Sus scrofa: one gene and its partner. The protein of the gene in region 2 interacts with the protein of the main gene of each other region in a pairwise test. Links are inferred from orthologs where the notes say so. Each region holds a gene or a part of one and is shown on either strand. Other genes may lie near its edges. The genes, in order: ARL14EP and SETDB2.

Region 1 (3,825 bases), on a different chromosome or scaffold from region 2:
TGTTATTTTGCAATTCATGCTATGTACTTGCTACTGTCACTTCATTTTCCACTTCATTTATCTCTTGTTCATGTAGAATGTATTACATAAACCTTTTTCTTTTCCCCAGGTTATGAACCCATAGCCATCAAAATTTTATTTCACCAAATTTTTTTAGACGATTATAATACCATTTCAGAACTATATTCTCTGCTTTTAAAAATACATGTAATAGGGAGTTACTGTTGTGGCTCAGCTGGTTAAGAACCCGACTAGTATCCACGAGGGTACAGCTTGGAGCCCTGGCCTTGCTTAGTAGGTGAAGGATCCAGCCCAGTGTTGGCGCAAGCAGCAGTGTAGGTCGCAGTTGCAACTTGGATCTGGCATTGCTGTTGGCTCTGGCATAGGCAGCAGCTGCATCTCCAATTTGACCCCTAGCCTGGGAACTTCCATATCCTGAGGGTGCAGCCCTAAAAAGAAAAAAAAAATATGTGTGTAATAGAACTTTTTCCTAAGGACTCAACATCCTTGTTGGGAACCTCTGCTATATATGCTGTTGGGTTATACAGTTTTTCTGCCTTCTCTCCCATGTTGGCAGCAGCCATTGTGATTTTCACCATGCCTGCCTCCTCTTCTAATATTCAGAGACTAAAATTAGATAAAGAAACAGTTATAAATAAGTTAATCAATGAACTTTAAATGTGGTCCAGGGCCATGTAAATTTTGTTGCATACGAGCACTAAAACCTTTTTTTTCTTTTTTGTGAGTTCCAGAGTGTCTTCCAGGTTAAGGAATAATCTGGATTAACTTGAAGTGAAATATTAATCTTTGTATGGTTTTGGTATCAAGATTTGAGTTGATAATTTGTTTACCTTTATTCAGGGAAGAACTGCTAAGGCTTTGAGGTCATTACAATTTGCAAACCCGGGAAAACAAACTGAATTTGCTCCAGAAACTGGTAAAAGAGAAAAAAGAAGGCTTACAAAAAATGCAACTGCTGGTTCAGACAGGTAGGCTATGTGTAATTTTAAGGCATGTGTTGCTGCTTCACATGTGTATTTTTAAAATATTTTTCTTTTAAGTTTTGAGTTTTCTGGTTAGACATTTTAAATTTGATAATCTGGAATTAAGGCTTCGATCCCTGGCCTCGCTCAGTAGGTTAAGGATCTGCTGTTGCTGTGAGCCGTGGTGTAGGCCGGCAGCTGTAGCTCCAATCAGACCCCTAACCCAGGAACCTCCATATGCCACAGGTGCAGCCCTCAAAAGCAAAAAAAAATAAAAAAGATAATCTGGAAAAAAGAAAATCTGGAATGAATCAGTAAGAATCTCTAAGGGCCTCGTGTAACATTAAGGCTTCCCTTCCCCTCTAAAAATTTGTTTTTCAGAAAATATCAATGAAGGAAGCAATACAGTATTTTTGGCACAAGAATTAAAATAATTTAAACATACGCTTCTTACAATTAAATGAATTCACTTGTTTGAAAAGCATTAATATATAATTGGGGGGGTTCCTGTTGTGGCTCAGCAGCGACAAGCCCAACTAGTATCCGTGAGGACATGGGTTCAATCCCTGGCCTCACTCATTGGGTTTAGGACCTGGCATTGCCATGAGCTGTAGTGTAGGTCACAGACATGGCTCAGATCCAGCATTGATATGGCTGTGGTGTAGGGTTGTAGCTCCAATTTGACTCAGCCTGGGAAACTCCACATGCCATGGGTGTAGCCCAAAAAATGTATATGTATATATATTTGGTATATATATGTAATTGGTATATCTCTGCTCTATGAGTGGCAGCTAAAAAATAAACTTTATGAGAATGAAAGGTGGTTTTTATTTTTTAAGTGTCTAAAATAGAAACCGTTAATGTACAGTCAATAGAATGAACAGGAATTCTAAATTGTTTTGAATGACTTTTTTTTTTTTTGGCAGCATGCAGAAGTTCCCAGGCCAGGCCAGGGATCAGATGCACACCACAGCAGAAGCCCAGGCTGCTGCAGTGATAATGCCCCTTACTTAACCTGCTGCACCACAAGGGAACTCCAGAATATGGCCACACCTGCAGCATATGAAAGTTTCTGGGCCGGGGATTGAATCCAAGCTGCAGCAGCTGGATTGTTTAACCCACTGTGCCTGGCTCGGGATTGAACCACACTTCCCTGTAGCAACCCAAGCAGCTGCAGTTGATTTCTTAACCCAACTGTATCACAGCGAGAACTCCCAGAATGTGACTTTTTAAATTGAACATTTCTAAAATACAAATTGACAATGAAATGTTAGTGTAATCATTCAGAATTCTTTTCTGCATATGCCATTTATTCCATCTGTTAAAGTTTTCCATTAAGTCATGTGTTTTTAGGCCAGATTTGCTAGAGTCCATTAAAGAACAAGAAACAGATTAATTATAGTATAAAAACAATTGAATAGTATCTCATAAAAAAAAACTATGTTCACAAAGCAGTAAAGAGATTGGTTGCTAATAAAATAATATACCATTATTACCTAGCCTTTTTTTTTTTTTTTTTTTGCAAGGGGAAAATAATTTTTAAATTTAATATGTTGGGACACAGTTCTTGTCCATTCCTTAGGATTTGTCTTAATGCTTTAAGAGTGAAATAAATCTCTTACTTTCACAAGGAGTTCATTAACTACTAATTGTAGAGTAGCCATGAATCTGGTAGGCCATGTATCGATTTGGCAGGATTTCATCCCTAATTCAAAACATTTTATCTCCTTAAAATCTTTTCATTACTTTATTTTCAGTAAGATATTCAGAAATAATGTATTTGTGAGGTGTAACTCACCTTGTGTTTTGTATTACAGACAAGTGATCCCAGCGAAGAGTAAGGTCTATGATAGCCAGGGTCTCCTCATTTTCAGTGGAATGGACCTCTGCGACTGCCTCGATGAAGACTGCTTAGGATGTTTCTATGCTTGTCCTGCCTGTGGTTCTACCAAATGTGGAGCCGAATGCCGCTGTGACCGCAAGTGGCTGTATGAGCAGATTGAAATCGAAGGAGGAGAAATAATTCATAACAAACATGCTGGATAACTTGTGGTATCAAATTAGGGGATCTTTAAAGGTCCCTTCTCTATATCTAGAATTTTGTTATTCTAAGACACATTTTAAAGTTGATTGCCAAATGACGAAAATTTGAAAACCATCTCAACATGCACTCCATGTGCACTAATGTTGCTTGTAGAGTGCTTTAAGAGTCATTATTTGGTATAAATTTAGATGGGCTATTTATTACTCAGTCAGCTTTAAGCCTGTCCATGTCCACATAAACAAGTAGTGTATAGGCAGTCCTTGATTTGCACAGTTCCCATGTCCACAGATTTCAGTGACAATGACTTAGTTAGATAAACTAGTTCCCTAACAGCACAGTTCAAATTTCAGTTACCATGGTATATTATTAATTCAGTAGTTACATGAAGTGCAGACTTCCTGCTAGTTCTTAAGTCCACATATCACTTTGTGAGTAACAGGTGTGTTTCAAGATCAGTGACCAGTCATGTTACTTTTCTCAAATTCTGCTAGATTGGTCACTGCCCATCTGTTACAGTTTATTTACAGACAGCAAAGCACATAGTTGTGTTGTCTCCTTGTCACCCATGTGACATTTTACAAAGTGGATAATGAGAAGAATTGGCCAACAAAGATGAAAGTGCAGTGAAGAAATGAAAATGATAATGCCAGCAGTGAGACTTCATTTAAACTTAGATGGAGTCTAGAAGAAATCACTGATCATTGGACTGTTGGCACTGCTGTATTCTAAAGCCTCTGACATGCAGCTAGAGGAACTTAGTGAAGGCAGACTTACCATCATAAATGAGGAAGGGTGTGA
Region 2 (3,825 bases):
TACAACAGTAAAATGCAATACTCTGATAAATGTACTGGTGTTCTGTAGTAAGCCACTAAATCACTCAAAATGTAGTGAGAGTAAGTAAAACATAAATACTTCCAAATGAAAGTATTTGAAAAGAGGCATTTTTGAATAAAATACATTGTATAAGACACAAAAGAGAAACCTATTCCACCTGTCCCATTGTGATTTTTTTGAAGTGAAGCTTTTGAAAACCTTTTGATAAACACATGATTTTCTTACATACCATTTCTTATAGTTTTCCTAAGCAAACGTTTACTGTATGCCAGCTACCATTTAAGCACTTTTTATATTAACACATTTAACCTTCACAACATTCTAGACAGTGTTACTATTATCTCCATATTATAGAGGTGGGAAGTATGGCATAGAGAGGTCAAACAGCATGCCCAGGTCATACAAGTGGAGGGCTGGCATTCTAATCCAGGGAGTCTAGTTTTGGAGTCTGTTAATCATATTTTCCTCATGATTTTGTTAAGAAGCCTAGAAAAAGTGTTTAGAAATAAGAATCTCAGCCCACATACTCACATTAAGGAAGCGTCCCACATTTCCTTCTTTTGTGGCATCCAATAAAAACATACTGCCTTTATTGAACTTCTTTGGAGAATCAGGTGAAGCATTCTTGGTTTCACTTGGTATCTCTTTATCACAAAAGGCCTGCTGGTTTTGACATGCTGGAGACTTTTTCTCTTGGGGCTTTTGTTTTTGAACCTCATTCGGATTATCCAGTGTGACTGCTTGGTTATATCTGCTCCCCTGTGGAGTTTCTTCTCTACATTTAGTTATATCTATCACATCCAATTCAATCAGAGGGTTGGCTTTAGAATCTTCAACTTGGTTTGAGCTTGAATCCACTAATAAACATTTTGGAAGGAATTGTCAGGAAAAATACTTGACTAAGCAATAGTGCTGAGAGCAGTAATACTAATTAAATGCTCGTTACATTCATTATTGCTAATCCTTACCATGTGTTAAGGTAGACAGTACTCCAATTTTACAAAAGAAAACTCTGAACTTTTGAAGTGTTAAGGGATTCACCTCTATTGCAATAATAAGGCAGGGTGGGGGTGGGGGGCAGTAACAAACCCAAAAATATCTGGCCCAAAATCTACCTTCTTTCTACTATGTAACAGTGCCTTTTAATGAATCTGTATATATGTTGCTCCCGGTTACTATATTTAATCTCTACTCCTTAGAAACTGACTTACCTCTTTTCAACTTTGGAATGTGCATTCAAGTATACTCTAAACGGCTGTAATTAGGGAGCATTGTAAGTCTTTAAGGTATCAATGAAAGGCCAGAGAAGACCCTGATGGAGTCGCCCTCTCTAAGTCCCAACAGCAATAACTATTGCTATGGGTTCTGCATACATTAGTGTTTGGCATTTTTGCTATATGATCATTCAATAATTATACCTCTACAAACAATAGAAGAAGACAAATTACTTATCTTTCTTAATCAATAATGGAAATAATCTTTTGGAAATACTCAAAAGTATGCATGCATGTCAAACAGAAGTAAAATGATTTATTTTTTTAAGTTATTTGTGCCACGTTATTCAGTGGCACAAAGAAATTCTACTTCTCTAAAATTAATGTTTTTGATGTAATCATCACGGTTGCTGGCTGTTTCTACATGTACTTATAATTTAATCATGGGTTGCTTGTAAGCCATAACAGTACATAATTAATTTTTGTAGTGCCTGCTATATACACATGGTCAATAAAAATGACAAAAGAACCAAAAGCAATAGTACTCATATGGCTCACAGGTGTTAAATGGTGACATATTAGAATGTCATCCTAAAATATGCATCTTTGACATAAGAACTATTTTGAACTAAGGGCAATTAAGCAGAAATTCAGGAAAAACTCTCAGCCCTCCCAATCTGTCTAAAAGCAGGATATAAATTTACAAAGGTGTCCCTCCTCCTACTATGAAGGACAAAAGTTAATTACCAGAGACAACTTTGGACCTACAATCGGTTTCACATATACCTGCCTTCCCACAATTACTACCCCTAGAGACGCAAGGTCCTTTTCCTCATTTCCTCTAAAAATTTACTGTCCTTACTGAAATGCTAGATAAGTTAGAGTTCAAGCCACCTCTTCAAGTTACTCATCTCTGAGTACTCTTGTGTGTTACAAGTATAATACACAGAGTAATACACTTCTGTTTTTCTCTTGCCAGTCTGTCTTTTATCAGTCTAATTTATAGGATCCCAGCTACACAACTTAAGATGGGTAGGGAAAGAGACTTTCTTCTTCTATTTAAGTGCCCTTTTTATTTTTGTCTTTTTAGGGCCACACCTGTGGCATAAGGAAGTTCCCAGGCTAGGGCTTAAATCAGGGCTGCAGCTGCCGGCCTCCACCGCAGCCACAGCAACCCAGGATCCAAGCACCATCTGTGACCTATGCCACGGCTCATGGCAACGCCGGATCCTTAACTCACTGAGAGAGACCAGGGATCAAACCTGTGTCCTCATGGATCCTAGTTGGGTTCATTACCACTGAGCCATGACAGGAACTCCTAAGTGCCCTTTCTTGACAGACCTTTTCTGTTAAGGGGCTGTCTTGCCTCCTCCAATCTCCAGCCTTTAAGATCAGGTGGGGAGTTGGGGATGCAGAAACAAGGAAGCCCAAAGGGAGAAGAGGCAGTGGTTAGTCAGTTCTTCAAAAAGGGTCATCTCTCAGCATGCCTCCCATTGAGGGAAAGAGTGAAATGTAAATGAACCAAAATCCAGGTTCATCAGGTTGTGATATTAACCACGGTGGGACTGGTAACACTGAAAGACAAGCACTCAGGGCAGCAATATTTTCACCTTTTGCTAAGCATCCCCTGCAGCATCACTGGCTAGAGTACTGCAGAATGATGTACCTTTATTTTTAAAGAAGCCTAAACAAAGAGGTAGGAAATGGCTGTTTTGGTTAATGCTTCCAAAGCCACAGATGGGCTACGTAGACTCAGCGTTGTCCAGCCCATGTTCCTGCCATGCATCAGGTCAGAGTTGGCATCTAGACCAGGGGTCAGCAAACTTCTTCTGTAAGAGGCCAAACAGTAAATACTGCAGGCGTTGTGGGTCACATAGTCTCTGTTGTGACTATTCTGCTTTGCTGCTATAGTGTGAAAGTAGACAGAGACAATATGAAAATGAAAGAGTATGGCTATGTTCCAATATAACTTTATTTATGGACACTGAAATTATAAATTCCTGTAATGTTCAAGTGCCACAAAGTATTATTTATCTTTTCATTTCTGCTCAGTTATTTAAAAAAGTAGAAACTATTTTAGCTCATAGGCCATGTATAAACAGGTCGTGAGCTGGATGTGGCCCACAAATCATAGCTTGCTAACCTCTGATCTAGATAAGTAGAAACTTGTGATTAATGCAGTATTTTTGTTATGGAGTCTGAAAAAAATGAGCCACAAGTATTGAGCAAGAGAGACAAAAAGGCAGAAGAGGCAGGCAATCACAGAGTGAAACAAAGCCTACTTCTCATTTCCTTGGCTGGAGAGTTCAGATGTACTTGAGTTGATTTAAAGCCACCATTATCTTCTGAGGTGAGAGACTCTGAGGAAGAAAATCCCTTAAAAGAAAACAAAGATGATGTCGTTTCTTTCTAGATGAAACTAAAAAATAATTTAGTTTAGCAGTAAGGCTTCTCTCTTCAAGTGTCAATCTTCACAGGCTGTAGCTACTACGTTAGTTTTGAAAACCTCAAAGCTGATATCCTAAAATCTTGAAAGTGATTGAGCCCCTTTGGCTGTGTTCTACTCCTAGGCATTTAACTGAGCCATAAT

Evidence for each region.
Region 1: the proteins of SETDB2 (region 2) and ARL14EP interact in binary tests that used the Homo sapiens proteins (3 or more experiments, as listed by UniProt). The two-hybrid records come from large-scale screens. The link is inferred for Sus scrofa from reciprocal best matches to the Homo sapiens genes SETDB2 and ARL14EP.

Annotation. Positions count from the first base shown.
Region 1 is NC_010444.4:30,297,883-30,301,707, reverse strand, and holds part of ARL14EP (ARL14 effector protein), read left to right. Parts: intron 1-861; coding exon 862-989; intron 990-2,800; coding exon 2,801-3,029; 3' UTR 3,030-3,825.
Region 2 is NC_010453.5:18,260,113-18,263,937, forward strand, and holds part of SETDB2 (histone-lysine N-methyltransferase SETDB2), read right to left. Parts: intron 3,612-3,825; coding exon 3,518-3,611; intron 879-3,517; coding exon 553-878; intron 1-552. UniProt on the Homo sapiens protein: Histone methyltransferase involved in left-right axis specification in early development and mitosis. Specifically trimethylates 'Lys-9' of histone H3 (H3K9me3).